Linked DNA regions of Arabidopsis thaliana. Each later gene encodes a partner of the first gene's protein in a complex. Each region holds a gene or a part of one and is shown in the gene's direction. Other genes may lie near its edges.

Region 1 (4,886 bases):
TAACAAAACTTGGTATATAAATGGGATATTCAATAAAAAATGTATTTTTCAAATTTTAAACATATACTATAAAGTATAAATAAAAATAAATTTGATATTATTTAACATGCCCCCTCTCCATAAGAAAAAGAAGAAGAAATGAAAGAAGATTGGAATCAATCAGAAGAGAGAAAAGTAGAGGAAGAATTATATATATGAAAGAAGACTAACTCTCTTCCACAACTTGACACATTAGCACATGAGAGTTTGCCACCTAGACTTCATAAAATAAGTAATACATAATTAGTAATTAATTCAACATAACAATTAAAATAGAAAAATATAATTAATGAGAACTTGAACCATCACTCTTTCTACATTTTTTAATTCAATATATCCTCTTTAATTTTGAGATCCACTTAAGTGGCTAAAGTGATGATAAAATCCAAAGATTTACACATATTCCTGGCCTAAAAATTAGACGATTATTATGAAAGAAACTAAATGAATATGCAGATTAAATATATCTAAGCTTTTCAAGATTTATGCTAAGAAAACAAGTAATTTGAAAGATATTTGAGGAGCTATCTTTATAACTAATACGTAAGATATAAGATTATGACAAGAATTTAACTAAACTTTCCAAGAACATCAAGTTGAATATGCTTAGATTAAATATGCAGAGACATGATTAATAAAGACATGTTATATTTTTAGTGTAAGAAATAAATTTTCTAAAATTTCACCGTCTCACAATCTATACATATAATTAAAAAAGCAAGGATATATAAATTCAAAAAAAAAACTAAAAATCTAAAACAACAATAAAAAACAACTCAAGCACATTCTTTTTTCAGATGAACTAATATAGTTGGGCTTTTCAAAAACAATTACAAATCATATTTATGTTTCAAAACCTATGCATTTAACTTTACTTTATATGAACATGCATTATATAAAACAATTTATAAATAGTAATACGTAAACCCGCACGTAGTGCGGGTACTCATCTAGTTATTATTAATACAGTTTTTGTTCAATCCGATTCAAACCGATTTAACCCAATTTCAATGGCGTCAATAAAAACATACTCACGACGCACTCTAGAGCTATAGAGAGAGAGAAAGAGAAAGAGAGAAATTTTGGTAGAGAGATAGGAAGACAAGGCTTTTCGGGTGTGCAAAAAGAAGAAGATTTGTCTGTATTTATATATTTATACTCTTTGTAAGAATTATTACATAATTGGTTATTTTCTTTTTTCTCTTTTTCAATATTAAAAAGCTTTTTATTTTTGCGTATGTAAGAGAAAATCCGTACAGTATAAATACAAACACAAAATGCACAAAATTTATGAAGAAATTAACTTGATTTTGATATGAGTTATGTAAAAATTTGGAAATTTGAATATCGTAGGCGAATGTTTCATTTTCTTTCAAGTAGGCACGGTTCTGCATAGTATTTAGTAACCATAAGGTTTGTAATAAAATTAGAGAAAATAAGAAAAATCATAACAGAAGATGCTCGAGAGGTATTGAAAATATATATGGTGTTGAGTATGTGATAACAATTTACAAATGTCTTGTGTATTACAAAAGTCTATGACCTCTCAATTACCTATAATTTTTTGTTCACGATATATGATCAAGTAAATATCCCTAAAGAGCAAATTCTTGCTGCTTAAACAACATAAAAACCATAAAAACCGTTGATGTGTGACTTCTAATTGTACTTAGTTATCTTGTACCATCAACTTTTTTGTAATACTTTTGTCACCAATCGCAGTTTCTAATTGCACATAGGTAAAGTCTTATGCTGGATTTTAAAAAATTTAAAACTCTAGGGACCAAGCTTTTAAAGACTCGAAAAAATCCCAAAAGCTTTCTTTCTCTCCCGAGCACCTGAAAAATCAAAACCGCATCGGCGCGTGAACAACACTCTCCTCAGGAAATGCTAAAACGACAGCGAATCTTCCCTCGCCACCAATAAATTTCTGCCACGTAACCGTCGTTTCCCTCGATTTTCTTCCCCTTTCCATAAACCCCTCTAAAAACCCTTCTTTTAGGGTTTCAATCTCATCCATCTACAACCTCTAGCTCTTCGATTTCACGTCACTCTTCACTCAATAAAAAAGCTACTGCTTCAAAGCTGGCTACTTCTTCAATTTACTCTCATTCGTTTGCGTTGATGTAGCAAAACAAAAACCAAAATGGTTCCCGTCTCGTTCTGCTTCTTCTTTCTCCTTCTCTTGCTCTCTGCTGGAGAGAGTTCATCGCAATTAGTTTCTGGTCCACACATCACCGATGTTAACATACTCTTACCTCCCAAGATGAAGAATCCGGTTGAGTATCGCCTTCAAGGAAGTGATGGCTGCTTCAAATGGTACACATTTACCCAAACTCATCTCTCTTATAAGTAGCTGTATTACCCAAATCTGAGTTTTGTTGTTGTAATTTGTAGGTCATGGGATCATCATGATATTCTATCAGTCACACCTGAGTTTAATTCGAGCAGTCATTGTTCGACCAGCGCGCGTCTCAGATCGATTTCTCCGTATAGTGGTAGAAAGGAGACTGCAGTTTATGCCACTGATATACAGACTGGGATGGTGATTCGCTGCAAGGTCTTTATTGACAACTTCTCACGGATTCAGATTTTTCATAATTCTATCAAGCTTGATCTTGATGGTCTTTCCATGCTTAGAGTCCGCGCTTTTGATAATGAAGGTTAGTGTCGTCACAAGTCAATAAAGTAATGTTTTTGCTTCAGTTTGTGCTGTGATTTTAGAAATGTGCTGAAATCTATTTGCAGATAACGAGTTCTCCTCACTGGTGGGTCTACAATTCATTTGGAAGCTAATGCCTGAGAGTGGTGGATCAACACATCATCTTGCTCATGTGCCTTTGAAGGAATCTCCGTTGACTGACTGTGGAGGACTGTGTGGCTACTTAGATATCCAGAAAAAGCTTGAAGATAGTGTATGTATATCTATTGTTGAGTGTGAATTACTGAATCTAAAAAATTGATGGATGAGAGATCTAATGTTGACATGGTAAATGCAGGGTGTATTTGCAGATTTGTTTGTTGTGAAGGGAACTAAAATTGGACATGAGAAGGTTTCAGTTCATCTGCTTGAGGCTCCTCTGACCCATATAGCTGATGAAATTGTATTAACGGTTGCAGAAGCCATGTCTCTTGAACCTCGCTCACCTGTCTATGTCCTGATGGGAGCTTCTTTTGGTTACACGTTAAAGGTCATGCGTGGAAATGTTCCTCAAGGTTTGTCTGCATCTTCGAGATTAACTTGTTATTTAGCAATGTTTGAGTTATTCGATTTTCATGTGTGTTTAAAGCTGATGATTTTTGACACATATATTAAATGAAAACAATGTATAGAGCTACCTTGGTACATTTATCATATTAAACTGGCAGGCTTATACGCTTTATGATATTTCAGTGGTGTTGATTCATAATTTGAAAATACTTGTAACTGTAGCTCGAGTGTGACATGCTATGTTATGTTGCTTTTCATTCTCGTTCTTGATTGGTCTATTGTTTATTTTATTTGCAGCCGTGGATCTACCATCACCACATCATAGATGGTCTGTGTTAAACTCTTCTGTTGCTCAAGTGGATTCTTTGATAGGTCTGACTAAAGCGTTAAGCTTGGGGGTAACAACAGTTGTTGTTGAGGATACCCGGGTCGCTGGCCACATTCAAGGATCATCTATTAATGTTGTCACTCCAGATACTCTTATCTTGTACATATCACCTTGGTCAATGTCAGGGGATCTTATTACAGAATCCAAACCTTTTCCATCATCTATGCATTGGTATGTGGTGTCTGGTCGTCAATATCTAATTCAAATGAAGATTTTCTCTGGAAGACCTGATGCACATGAAATCTATATAACTGAGGTACTTTTCTTTTTCTTTTACCTGTTTTGCATGCCCACATGTAGTTTGCATCAGTTTCTTTGTGTGACAATATTACCTTGCCTCTGTATTTTCTAACTATAGGACGTGGTGCATAGTTTATTTATCTTTAGGCTGCCAATCAATCGTCCATAAGCTTGTCTTTGGTCATGAGTCTCTTTATACTGAGTATGTGTTCTATTTTGGGGAGGAAACTGCTGGTGGCTACACAGTATTCAAATCTTTAAAACTGAAGAAAAGCCTGATGATGTGTCTTTTGTGGCTGTTTTTCTTTCTTTCTCACTGCTGTTCATTTGTTTGCATTTAAGTTTCTTCCTTTACCGAGTTATGTCCAGAGGATTTATTGTAGATGATATTGCATGTATGTTCAACATAATAATTTCCTTTGTGTTGATTGCAGACGGATGACATAAAACTGTATGGAAAAGATTCAGATTATTGGAAAATCGTCTCACTGCCAGATGAACTTTCCTCTGAATATGGTCAGCGAAATTCTAGAATTTTGAACGCAATCTCACCAGGATTAGGAGAGCTGACATCTACATTGACTTACTTCAGTGGGCATCAAGAGTCAAAAGAGGTGAGAAAATTATATATCTTTGGAAAACCTTTTGTCTCTTTCCATTTGTTGGTACTGCAAGAGTAACAACTTTGTCTCTAGCAGGTTCTCAAGGTTGTCCAAGAAATTAGGGTTTGTGAAAAAGTGCAGTTCACATTGAACAGTGAAGATGACACACCTAAGGTTCTACTCCCATGGACCCCTGCTGTTTATCAGGAGATGGAGCTAATTGTGACAGGAGGTTAGTTCCCAATCTATGGTTCTCGTGACCTATTCTTTTTTAGTTTGAAAACCATGGTGACTTGATGATTGTTCCTCACTGTAGGTTGTGCAAAAGCATCGAGTGACTACAAGTGGTTTACTTCAGATATAAGCATTTTGTCGGTGTCAGCTTATGGAATTATCCAGGCAAAGA
Region 2 (5,508 bases), on another chromosome or scaffold:
AAATTAAAATTTATTTAATCCAACACATTGTATTTATTCCAACATAATTAACAAACTAATTAGATATGGTTAGACATATAGTTTAACTAACCCAACACAGCGTCTTTCATCAATCTTATGCTAGGAAACAGGAGACCATTAGTTTATCTTAAAACACCTTCTTTTTGTGTGTCTAAAGTCTTTAAGATAATATTTTAAGACTCAATTTTAGTCAAGATCGCAAATCATTGATAAGAAAGGATCTAAGACTTCAACCAACGAATGAATTTAGTTTAACTCAATTATTCAGATTCAACTGCATCGATCAGCATATGAAGTATGTAGAGATGTCAAAACCCAATTTACTAACGGATTAAAAAGCCCACAGGTTTTCCTTTTGAACTTCAGTGAAAACTTTGGTAGCTTAGTTAAGAAGCAGAAGACTCCAGCTGAGAGGAAATGGGCCTAAAATAGCCCACACATTCGACTGTCTTCAAATGGGCTTGAGACGGCCTGATATTGGTTTGGCTTGATATTGGTAAAACCTCTGATTGAGCTGGAGTATTCTGTTTCTGTTCAATATTGGTCACACAAATTCAGTAGTAGTATACAATTGGGCATGATCACAGAATCTTCAACTTCAAGTGCCAAAAATTTTCTTTTATGTTCTCAAGCAAAACATACTCCTACGCCATGGCCACAGTTCAAGAATCTGCTCACTATTAGTACGCCACTTCGTCGTCAGAAGACAAATGTTTTGCCTGATAACTTCAGCAGACACTTACATAGACCATGATCATCATGTTCAACATCTTATAAATCTATGTAAAAATGATCTCAATCAACTAATCAACACACCACTTACACATCAACAACAACTACCTACACTAGTCATTAATCTCATGCCATAACTTTCCAAGATTATCACAAAATGTGGCAAAAGCCACAACCTTTCTTTCATTTGCAATTACCATTTCATAGGCATTGTTGCTATGTTTCTCTCACCAGTGTATATCTATCTATTATCCATCACAAATTCATGCCAAACTCACAAGCTAAAGATTTGTCCTTGAGATTCGCTACTACTTGTATCATTGCTCTGAGATCCTAGTCTCACTCTCAATGAAACCAAATAGATCTTAAAGAAAGCATAACCAATAGCATTCAGAAGAAAATTCACATACAATTTTTAACAGCCTAAGCAGTATCTCGACTTCAATTGAAAAGACAACAAATTCAAAGACATAAGCTTTACCAGAAAAGACTCATCATTTCTTCTTCCCTTTGGGACCTTTACTTTTCTTAGTAGGCATAATGATTTCTCCTTTAAGCACAGGAATCTCCATAATCTCAGAAAGCCCAGCGAACCTCTTACGAAACTTCTCAACTTGATCAGCATCAACCATCAAAGCCGAACGATTCCCGAGGTAAAACGGATGGTTACCTGACCATACATCAACCACATACTCTTTCTTTGTTCCTCCTGTAGTCATCACCAGCTCTCCATTGCAGTAAACCTTTGCGTCTTCGTGGAATTCAGGATGCAATTCCTTCTTACGACACGTTATCTGAACCACCGTATTGCTGCTTCTTCTCACCGATTGTTTTCCTCCTTTCACTGCCGCCATCACCGGCTAATTTTGAAAAAAAAACACAAACAAATTTAGTGATTTTGGGGAAGGAGGAGAAATAGACGAAGAATGAGAAATCGATTTCGAGCTTACCTTTCTTAATTGCAGAGAAGGAACACATGGGCTAATCTGAAGAAACGAGTTCGGGAGAGAAACCGCCATTTTTGTCTTCAGGAGCTATCTTCTTCTTTTTTCCTGGTGATAGAGAAGAAACGAAGTAACGATTGATGGATAAGAGAATGAGGATGATGAAGTGTATTGGAGTTACGTTTATAACCCTAAATACTTTGAAGATATGTAAGGGTAATATGGTAATTTACATAGAGACTTCCTTTTGTTCTGTTGATACACTCTTCGTCAATCTAACGCTTCTTCATTTTTCTCGAGAGAAGCAAAACTACATATATATATACGCACATACGTACACAGTTCGAAGGTTTTAGCTGCGAGTATGAGGAAGGAACTGTGTAGAAACTTTCAGCGTGGCAGGTAAATACTCTTTTCATCATCATCATCTTCTTCTTCATCTGTTCTAGTTTTTGTTTTGATTCAATTTGTTGTTTTATAAGAGTTTTTGAAGTTTGTTTCGATTGCTGAAGTTTAGGTTTCGTGTTCTATATTCTGGGGTTTAATTTGAAATCAATCGATGTGCGAAGGTGGTAATGTGTTAGAAAACGATGTCTATTGAGCTGAAATCTAAATGAATCATACAGTTTATTGACTTTGATAGATTCTAATCTTCGTTTCCGCCATTAATGAGGGTTGATTTGCTTCGGAAGTTATGATTAGTGATAGTAGAAGCTTAGAGACGTAATTATTGGACTCATCGTCCTTTGTGCTGTTTTTGCAGTTGTAGGTATGGGGAAAACTGTAGATTTCTTCATCCACAACAAGCTAAGCCAAATAATCCCTTTGGCTTTGGTACACAAAACCAACAACAACAACAGCAGCAGCAGCAACAAAATAGTTCGAACCCTTTTGGATTTGGTGTACAAAGTGGTGGTTCCAGCAGACCGAATCAGTTCCAGGTCAATTTGTTTTTTTCCTCTTTTAAGATGCAAGTATTGCTTTGATAGAATGCAAGTTATCGTTCGGCTTTGGATGAGAAAAATGGTGCATCTTCTTTAAGAAACGAAAGCATTTTGCCTGTTGAATGAATGGTGACATGATGATGCTTTTGCAAATCAGAATACTTGGTCACGAACGGCTTCTACACCTACTGGTGGTGGTGCTGCTGCTTCTACACAGCAGACTGGTAAACAGACGCAGCCGGCAGATCATAAGTGAGTGTATATATGTTTACATATGCTTGTTCTATCAATTATCATCCTTTTAGCCGTTTGTTTCTTTGGAAATTTACTGTTTCTCTCTTGGTTACTATACAAAGATGCACAGATCCTGCTGCGTGTAAGCGGGTAATGCAAGACGATTTTAAGAATGAGAGACCCATGTGGAAGCTCACATGCTACGGCCACTGGAAATAGTATGTATTACTTCATTTGGTTTAGCATCCTTGATCTTTATCCATTCTTTATAAACGTGTCTGATTTTTTCTATCTTTTTTTTCTTCTAGTTTTCCATGTGATGTTACCGGTGATATCAGCTATGAAGAACTACGTGCAGTGGCATATGAAGAAGCTAAACGAGGAATACCTCTACAGTCGATTGTGAGATTAACCTTTCTTGTGTTTGTTATACTTTACACTGGTTTTCATTTCATACTGATAAGACATAAGTTGATTTCCTCTTTTCCTGGCTTATTATGGTGCATTATATAGGTTGAAAGGGAGAGGAATCTGCAAAATTCCAAAATAGCCGAGTTTGAAAACTTTCTACGGAATCCATACAAAGGCTCTGTTACCGCCAATCAAAGCCCGTTTGCTGCAACCACTCCTAGTATCTTCCCTCAGTCCAGTCAGATCAATTCCCCTTCTCCAGCATTCTCTGGCTTTAATCAACAAACTGCATTCTCCAATACCAATGCGGGTGGACTCAGGTATCAACTTTTGTGGGATTTCTCCAATTTTCATATCCCAAAAAGTTTGTGTTGCCTTCAAACTAACTCTCGGTTTCCATTTTTCCTCGACATAGTTCATCTGGACCTCCGAATGCCTTTGCAAGCTTCAATCAACAAACTACATTCCCCAATACCAATGCTGGTGGAGTCAGGTACTAACTTTCTCCATATTCCATATTCAAACAAGTTTGTGTTACCTTTATAACCTCTTGGTTCCCATATTTCTCTTTGGCCAACTATTCCTCTGCATAGTTCATCTGGACCTCCGAACCCCTTTGCAAGCTTTACTCAACAATCAAATAATCAACAAACTGCATTCTCCAATACCAACGCTGGTGGTCTCAGGTATCAACTTTTGTGGGCTTTCTCCATTTTCCAAATTCCGTAAAGGGGTGCCTTCATGAAAACTCTGTTTCCATATTTCTCTCTGGCCAATGATTCCTCTACATAGTTCATCTGGACCTCCGAATGCCTTTGCAAGCTTTAATAAACAACCAAATGCTTTCAGCGTCAACACTCCTCAACCTGTTCCTTCAGGTACTACTTCTAATGTTAAACTTTGCTTAAAGGCCAAGAGACTCGCCATCATCTGAAACCTCTTTTGCAAATGATCACAGGTCCCTCTGGTTTCCAAACCAATCCATCAACAACATTCAAACCAGCATCATTTGGACCTGGACCCGGATTTGCCACAACTCCACAAAACAATAACATCTTTGGTCAATCAACTCCAACACCGGCTACAAACACTTCCCAGAACAATCAGACCGCATTCAACTTCAATGTCCCTGTTGCATCTTTTACTGCTCCTGCTATAAACACGACAAATACATCTTCCGGGTAAGTCCTCAATCTGTTTCCAGGTTTTTTCTATAGTTAAAAACCGTTGTTGAACATGTTGACAGAGTTAATCAAAACATACTATGATGTTTCATACGTTTCTAACTTGAATCATTTGCGGCAGAACCGAGCTGCAAATAGGTGGTGATCCTGTTGATAGTAGTATCTGGCTAAAGGAGAAATGGAATCCAGGGGAGGTAAATTGCTCAAAACTAATCATTTAAGTTGTTTCCAAAAAATTTATTGCTCTTAGATTAATTTGTTGCTTTTGTTGTGCAGATTCCGGAACAAGCGCCGCCTGATGCCTTTGTTTAACAATATGAAGAATGTCATTGAAACAATTACGTATAGGCCAGAGTCGCAAATTGGCGCAGAAGAGTTGTTTTTTCTTGGTCATCTCAGATTTGTGACCAATGTAGTTTCTCCACAAAATCCAAAGTTTTGAACCTTAACAATAATTTCAATGCAGATAACAGAAACTATAAACAAGAGAATTCTAAAAATCAAATCTTTCTCACCAAGTGAACATCTTTCAACTACAACAACATTCCCACAAAATTTGAAAGCTTTTCTTAATTCCACTACAATTTTTTGATCAACTTCAAACAACGATCTCGCTGGATTTTCTCTTTTTCTTACTCTTCTTCCTCTCTTCCGAACCCATCTCTCGATGACTCTTCCTCTTCTTCTTAGAGCTTAGCTTCGTCTCCTTTGATTTAATCTCCCTATGGATGCTCTTCAATTCAATAAAGGCACCGGAAGCTCGTCGAAGGTACGCGCTAACATCTTGAGAGGCTCCATTCTCAGAAGAAACGAATCCGGAGAGAAGAGTAGCCGCCTTTGATAGAGAGATTGGCTTTGCACTGTTAACTCTTCCGGTGACCGTCTTCATCGGAACAACAAGCTCAAGGAAGATGGTCACAAATTAGGGCAAGTTGAAAAATAAATAAACCTTTTTATACATAGAATTGAAAATGGGCCTAGTGGAAAAAGCCCAATAAGAAAAAATGTCATCGGTGTCTCTCTTATAAAGGTAAAGCG
Region 3 (7,350 bases), on another chromosome or scaffold:
TGCAGCAGACTTAAAACCCATATATTTCTACTTATTGCAGTTGCAGCCGTAGGGCTCCTGTATCAGTTGCAGCAGGAATCGTATATGTCATTGCTCGACTTTCTTATGAGAAGCATCTGCTCAAAGGTCACATTTAAATCTCAATCTATATAGCAGCCCTTAAAGCAAAGTCTGATCAGCTCTTCTCTTTCTCTAACATATTGACACATAATGAGTTGCAGGTCTAATAGAAGCCACTGGAGTTGCAGAAAACACGATAAAAGGAACATACGGGGACTTGTATCCAAATCTGCCAACAATAGTACCCACGTGGTTTGCCAATGCAAATGACCTGAAAAACCTTGGAGCTCCTTAGATCTTTATGTGCGAGGATACAAACAATCTCACTCAAAGAAGCTTTCGTCTTTCCCTTTTTCTTTTTTCCTGAGCCCTTATAAGATTCTTCCTAGAACCCTTTACACATAATACCTCATGAATACGCATCATCAAAGTTACTCCAAGTGTATGTAAACTCTCAGTTTGATTCGACTTTTTCAAAAGAATACAAGATCATTCCGGTTTTTTGTTACATTTTATGATAAGACAGGGAGGTCTATAGAACTGAAGGAAAAGAAACTGGCACGGCCCTGAGCGATATGACAGAATGTTAATGGTGCAGCTATGCGCTTTTGCAGGACTTTAATATCTTCTTTGCTTGGTGGAGAGTCCCTGTTAAAGAATATGAGTATATTTAGTAAGACGCATAGTGAAAAACTTGCATTCATAGTCGAACTTCAAACTAACAAAAACGCTTACCCCGAGAAGCAAGCCACAAAGCTTGGTTCACCAGGAGAAGACTTCTTGAACCGGCTGTTTGGTAGATACACGTCAAACACCGCTTTTGCATCACAAATCTGCATATCTCCCAAGAGTTTAGTTACAGTATCATTGTCTGCAGGACATTCACCAGCACAAGCTGACTCTTCTTCACCATTCGGTCTTGCAGCATCCTTTAACGTCCAAGAAACTCCATGCCTACCTAGGATGTAACCTAGACCCTTCAAGTATCTATAAACCTCGTAGTTTTCCCAAGAGCAACCGCTTTTCTCCTCTGCAATTTTCTCATACAAGTCCTTCAATGGGATCACTATGTCATCCTCATTACCTAAGATCTGTAACTCTCCAATTTCACTCAAATACCTGCAAAGGGAAGAAGAATAAACGAAAAAGGAAGAGACTTTCATCAGATCTTTGGTAAAGACTGATCTAAAAAACTTGTAAAATATTTAGTTTGCCACATACAGAGCCTCTTCTATGAAGCAATATGTCTTTCCACTACGAATGATTCCAGTTGTCGTCCAAAGTTTTCCCCTTTTAACCTCAACTTCCGCCATTCCTAGTTCAGTAATCCAACGAGCCTTGGAAGATCCTACTCTACATTTTGCAAACACAAAAAACAAAAAGAGAAACTGAGTCTAAGATTAGTTGACTTAGCAGTTTATGATTTGGGCAAAAGTAAATCTAAATTCACCTGAACTGTAACTTGGGCACTGAACCACCAGAATGAAACTCTTCGTCATCATCGTTTGGAAAACCACCTTCGTTTTCGCTCGAAGAAGAAGCTTCCCAGTCTTTTTCCTCCATAAGCTTAAAGTATGAGATGTTCAAGGAGGCAATTCGTCGAACAGTTGGTGTACAGCTAAATAGGTCGTGCCGTGTCGTGTGTCTTCTTTCTCTTTTCCTTTGGTTTTGAATTTTATTGTACCGAATCGACAAATAAGGAATCAAGACCCGAACCAATTAAACCGGTTTGAGTAAGTGGAGAAAAAAACTGATTTTAAAATGTTCGAATCCTAAACCCTTGACATTCTTCTGCTGAGTTCTCCTGAAGCTCAAACTCTCAATAAGTATGGCGAACGACCAGGAGATGAGTGGATGGACTGATCTTCTCCATTCTTCGACTAAGCTTCTGGAGCAAGCGGCTCCTTCTTCTCAGTTTCCTCCTCTTCAGGTCCTTCTACTAACCACCACTCTTTTCGATTTCGAACCTCCGTTTGTCTGTTGGCTTCTATTATCACGATGAGCTTGATTCGTAATGATATATCCGTGGTTTATAGAGGAATTTGGATCAATTGGAAGCATTGTCGAGGAAACTCAAAGCTAAAACCCTAAGAAACGAAGCTCCTTCACAGTCTATTGCTGCCACTAGGTACTACAACTTCGATTTTCTCTTTCTTTACCTAGGTCTTGCGTTTTAGTGAGTCCCCGAGAATTCAATATTGGTCACTCAATTTAGCCATTAAAGAGTATTGGAGTGCGAGATTGAAGGTAGGTCCGACGAGCTTAACATCGTAGAATCCTCTGGTCGATAGTTTGATTCTGGTGTCTTCATTTTTGCTTGGATACGCAGACTACTTGCACGGGAGGGAATCAATGCAGATCAATTATCTCGTGATCTTAAGTCATTTGAGTTGAAGGTGAGCATTTTCTCTATTTCCTATCTATATCTACTAGCTTATGTTGCTCTTCTGTTCTTTGGATAATTTGACATTTTATCTGTGTACTGAATTACCTTTGCCTAAGTTTTTCTTTTGGATTGTTAATAGACGACTTTTGAAGATGTATTCCCTGCGGAGACAACAAGTGTTGAAGAATACCTGCAACAGGTTTTCTATATCTAAATGCTCTTCGAGAATTCCCTTTTCTTTGATTACACTACAGATTGTTCTATATGCATCTTCTTTGTCTTTAGGTTCATGAAATGGCAATGGTATCGGCTATACAGGAGGCCCAGAAAGATAATGTTCGAAGCTTTAACAACTACATGTTGAAAGTGTTGGAGGTCAGTATTGCGACTATCACAAATTGTTTTGACTTGATTTCCGTGTTAGTTTCATCTGTCACATCTTTTGCCTTTAGACAATGTTCTCCTGTTTGTAATGGTTTTAAAGTTTTTCCTCTCGTCTTTTGCTTCTTTTCATTATGCTATTACAGTCAAAGACTCGTAAATGTCTAAATGATAAGCATGAGACCGTAATTGTTAATTGGAGGAACATGTTCTTTATCCCTAGATATTTATGGCATTGTAGTTTGAAAATTCTTTGCGTAGAAAGTTAGAAGCTGGTTGAGTTGCTTATTGCTAATTAGAAGGATATGTTTTTTGAATTTATTCAGGTTCTTTCTCATATATACTTCAACGTGAAATCTGTTTATGGCAGGAGGACTGTATAAAAGAAAAACGTGACTTTCTTCACAGCCTTAGCAAAACTTCAATGTTACCTAAGACCAAGATGATCAATTCAAGTAGAGGCTCTCATGCTGGTTCACTAGTGCCTTTGAGTCCCCAAGTATCTTCAAAACCTGGAACGGAACTCGTGTCTATGACTAACAAACCCATTCATGAGAAAAAGGCATATGTCTATGCCGAGGTTGTGAAAAAACTAAACTCTGCAAGAGAACGAGGCTTGCCATTTAAAGTATGACCTTCGAAAACCTCCTTGTAAATTCTATAATATTGGTGCATTTGAATGTCGTCCTGCTTGATAGTTGTAGCTAAAAATTCTGCATCTTTTGTTACTGCTCTTAGAAGTGAAGCTAAACCTATAATATATATGTAAACCCTTCACCTTTTTATGATAAGTGCCTTTTGTTCAGCATTAATCTAACTAGTTGACCTTGTACTCATTTGTTTAACTCTGCTTCCTACTAATTTATTATTTGTGTGTTTGTATAGCTTGCAACATTGTTCAACGGTGCATATGAAAGTCTAGAAATTGATTTGACTCGTGGAAAATCAGTCAACATGCAAAAATTATGGCAGCTTATTCAGGTGATCTTTTGATTGGAAGATTCCTTTTCCTACCAGTGGCACCTTAAAAGTCTGTTCTTACATTTCCAAGGCTTTTAACAATTTATAAAACAGGGAATGACGGGTGAAGAGTCAGCAGTACAACATGGTGTTTCCAAGAGGATGGCCCTCGTGATAGGTGCAAGACGCCACTTGGAATGTGGGCATGGGAAACATATAATGGATACAATTCAAAGTCATCCTACACAAGTACTCGTTTCTACCTTGTATTAGTTTTGCTTGGAATTGCTATTTAAGGCATGTTACATGTGTCTTGATGCATCTTTTTAATTACTTTCTTAACTTCAAGGATGCTTTCTTGAAAATATGCCCTTGATCTTTCACTGAGTTCAAGTGCGTCAATAATCACAACATGTTTCTATCCTCTCCTTTGAATCTTTGTCTAGGCTGCTCTTGGTGGATCAGTTGGAAATTTGCAAAGAATTCGTGCTTTTCTTCGGGTGAGTGCCACAGATCTAATAAAGCTTAACACGAAGCATATATACACAGGAATATTATTTTGTGGCAATCATATACATTGGTTTGTTTGCATTTCTTGATTCTTTTTCAATACTGCGCAGATTCGTCTGAGAGATTATGGGAGTTTGGACTTTGATTCAGTTGATGCTCGTAGGCAGCCTCCAGTTGATACTACTTGGCAGCAGGTTTCACATATTTTCACTCACGCTTTAAATTTTCAGTTTGTCCTCAACAATCAAGTTGAACAGTAGAATTTTCTTATTGCTGTTCCCCCAAGTTTCTTAACGTAAGAGATTGATTAAATATACCTCTTTGATTACAGATATATTTTTGCTTGAGAACTGGTTATTATGAGGAAGCTAGAGAAATTGCCCAGTCATCTCGGTCATCTCAACAACAGTTTGCTCCTCTGGTATATTGTTTGGTCTTAATAACCCACATTAATGTTTTGGAGTTGCCTTTTTGATGTCCCCTTTTTTTGGCAGCTTACAGAGTGGATTACAACAGGTGGTACTGTGGCTGCACAAACCGCTGCTACTGCTTCTGAGGAATGTGAGAAATTGTTAAGGATGGGTGATCGGTTTGGCCAAACAACATATGACAAGAAGAAGCTTCTACTCTACACTATCATATCTGGTTCCCGAAGACAAATTGATCGCATCATGAGAGATTTTTCGACCCTCTTTAACACAATAGAAGATTTTCTCTGGTTCAAACTATCATGTGTACGTGACGTAGCTGGTGGATCTTCATCTATGATCGTGAATGATGGGCTAGTGCCATACAGTTTGGATGATCTCCAGGCCTATCTTAATAAGTTTGAGCCATCTTACTACACTAAGAATGGGAAAGACCCTCTGGTATACCCATATGTTTTGCTTCTTAGCATTCAGTTACTACCGGCGATCATGCACATGTCCAACGAAGCTGGAGATGAAGGGTATAACATTGATGCTGTCCATGTAGCTATATCGCTAGTGGACCATTCCATTCTCTCTGAAGGATCTGGGACTGGGCGCAAACTAAGTGTGATGGATGCTAATGCCGAGGCATCTAGCATGATTAGGCAATATGGGTCGATGTATTTGCATCATGGTGATCTGCAAATGACGCTGGAATACTATGCACAAGCTGCTATTGCAGTAGGTGGGGGTCAACAGGCTTGGTCTGGAAGAAGTAATGTTGATCAACAAAGGCAAAGGAACTTGATGCTGAAGCAACTACTGACTGAGATTTTGTCACAAGAGGATGGTATTCACTTTCTGCTTGGTGCTAGAGGTTCCGGTGAAGAAGGCGAGCTTGGAAGATTTCTGCCTGATATAAAATTGAGGCAGCAGTTCTTGATCGAAGCTGCGCATCAATTTCAAGAAGCTGGATTATATGACAAAGTAAGTATCTTTTGTACTTTTTGATCATATACTAACTACTTTAAACATGCTTTAGTAAACTGTCCGTTGGTTCTTTGTTCAATTGGAGTGCTTTCACATATCAATCATTTATTTCTTTTACCATGTTTCAGTTTTTTTTACGGTTTGTTATTTAATGCAGTCAATAGAACTACAGAAGAGAGTTGGTGCGTTTTCGTCTGCCTTGGAAACGATAAACAAATGTCTATCTGAAGCCATTTGCTCCCTTGTCCGTGGAAGGCCAGATGGTGAAAGCCGAACAGAGGGGCTTGTTCTCTCGGGCAATGACATTCTCAATTCTTACAAATATCACCCTGATGTCAGGTAAATTGCATACTTCAATGGACTAACTCATTTACTTGTCTTAAGTTTTGTAGTTGTTGAATAGGGAGGTTCTCACTGGAAGTGTTATTCTTTTATACTACAGTGCCCAGGAAAGACATCTTGTTATGGAACAAGAAACAATACTAAGAGAGCTTGAGGCAATATTATCGATCCACAAGTTGGCCAGACTAAACAAACATCTAGATGCCATAAGAGAAGTCGCGAAACTTCCATTCCTTCATCTCGATCCAAGACAACCAGACACCACCTCGGATGAGTTCCAGAAAGCATCTTCTTACTTTCAGACTTGTGTCCCTGATTTACTTAAGGTTGCTCTGACCTGTTTGGATAACGTAGCTGACACTGATGGATCAATCAGGGGCATGAGATCTAAGGTATACTTTAACAATTTGCGCCATATATATGATCAGTAGAGATCATGATATGGATATTAATCATGAATTTGTTTTGCAGATTGCTGGGTTTCTTGCAAGCAACACACAGCGGAACTGGCCTCGAGATTTGTACGAGAAGATAGCTCGAAGCTTTTGAATCTAAGAAATTCGAATACTTGTCTAAAAAAGATCTTGTAAGAAGCTGTTAAACCCATTTTTGTTACTTAACCTCGAGGATCACTTTTTGTTTTTTCTTCTTTTGGGCTCAAACAGGCATGGTTAGCAAAAGCAAAATCTTAACATAGAGATAATCACACAAAATCCAAAGATCGTATGTTAGGTTCTAAAGCATTATAATCCAAAACAAAAGAAAACAAAAACATATACCAGTTTGACTCGTGAAGGCATTGACATTATAAAAGTTTTATAAGCTGATGATTCATTACCAATGTGTGCCTCATTGTTGGTACTAGCTTCAGTTGTTTCAAGCAGCAGCTGTATCAAATCTCCTCATCATGTCACAATGAGGCGTTTCACGAACAAATCCCCATTGTTTCCTCTGCATCTCATACCTACAATTCTGACTAAGTATAGACACATAATCTCTCTCAACTTGTTCTTCCAGCGTGTGTCGATCGTTGCTATCTCGTGGATAATCCTGCTCGAATTTAGACGATTTCACAAAGTAATTGACACCTTTCTGTGTAGTGAACTTGTACTGGTAAGGATAAGTTGCAGAGAGTTGGTAAACTGGTTGAGAAGAAGGCATGAAGTTGAGCAGAAGTATGAAGACAACAGGAAGAAGCTGGAGAAGTATACGAGCATTGAAACCTGCATCAGGTGCTTGATTGTTATTAGCTGTTCTCTGACGAGTAGCTCCGAAATTAAATGATCGGAATTGAGCAGTCGCAGGAGGCAT

The links. The genes of interacting proteins can lie anywhere in the genome.
Region 2: EMB3012 (region 1) and AT1G75340 share a complex: the UniProt entries of both Arabidopsis thaliana proteins name them as parts of the nuclear pore complex.
Region 3: EMB3012 (region 1) and AT3G57350 share a complex: the UniProt entries of both Arabidopsis thaliana proteins name them as parts of the nuclear pore complex.

The regions. Positions count from the first base shown.
Region 1 is NC_003076.8:16,211,176-16,216,061, forward strand, and holds the start of EMB3012 (embryo defective 3012), read left to right. Parts: upstream 1-1,860; 5' UTR 1,861-2,185; coding exon 2,186-2,358; intron 2,359-2,436; coding exon 2,437-2,702; intron 2,703-2,787; coding exon 2,788-2,954; intron 2,955-3,038; coding exon 3,039-3,255; intron 3,256-3,547; coding exon 3,548-3,894; intron 3,895-4,312; coding exon 4,313-4,492; intron 4,493-4,576; coding exon 4,577-4,712; intron 4,713-4,796; coding exon 4,797-4,886.
Region 2 is NC_003070.9:28,268,427-28,273,934, reverse strand, and holds AT1G75340 (Zinc finger C-x8-C-x5-C-x3-H type family protein), read left to right. Parts: upstream 1-1,853; 5' UTR 1,854-2,061; coding exon 2,062-2,099; intron 2,100-2,209; coding exon of another isoform or gene 2,210-2,269; intron 2,270-2,460; coding exon 2,461-2,638; intron 2,639-2,798; coding exon 2,799-2,893; intron 2,894-2,997; coding exon 2,998-3,093; intron 3,094-3,183; coding exon 3,184-3,277; intron 3,278-3,388; coding exon 3,389-3,606; intron 3,607-3,701; coding exon 3,702-3,779; intron 3,780-3,879; coding exon 3,880-3,972; intron 3,973-4,078; coding exon 4,079-4,164; intron 4,165-4,244; coding exon 4,245-4,467; intron 4,468-4,591; coding exon 4,592-4,664; intron 4,665-4,746; coding exon 4,747-4,782; 3' UTR 4,783-4,965; downstream 4,966-5,508. Other genes in the region: emb2184 (Ribosomal protein L31), read right to left, coding at 1,248-1,613, 1,704-1,772; AT1G75335 (nucleolar-like protein), read right to left, coding at 5,069-5,359.
Region 3 is NC_003074.8:21,219,844-21,227,193, reverse strand, and holds AT3G57350 (Nucleoporin interacting component (Nup93/Nic96-like) family protein), read left to right. Parts: upstream 1-1,769; 5' UTR 1,770-1,888; coding exon 1,889-1,990; intron 1,991-2,096; coding exon 2,097-2,188; intron 2,189-2,389; coding exon 2,390-2,456; intron 2,457-2,585; coding exon 2,586-2,645; intron 2,646-2,731; coding exon 2,732-2,821; intron 2,822-3,197; coding exon 3,198-3,455; intron 3,456-3,712; coding exon 3,713-3,808; intron 3,809-3,901; coding exon 3,902-4,036; intron 4,037-4,233; coding exon 4,234-4,287; intron 4,288-4,407; coding exon 4,408-4,491; intron 4,492-4,628; coding exon 4,629-4,718; intron 4,719-4,791; coding exon 4,792-5,694; intron 5,695-5,854; coding exon 5,855-6,036; intron 6,037-6,139; coding exon 6,140-6,431; intron 6,432-6,510; coding exon 6,511-6,588; 3' UTR 6,589-6,807; downstream 6,808-7,350. Other genes in the region: AT3G57370 (Cyclin family protein), read left to right, coding at 41-126, 222-355; AT3G57360 (tRNA-splicing endonuclease subunit), read right to left, coding at 573-708, 796-1,179, 1,282-1,413, 1,511-1,623; AT3G57340 (DnaJ heat shock amino-terminal domain protein (DUF1977)), read right to left, coding at 6,916-7,350.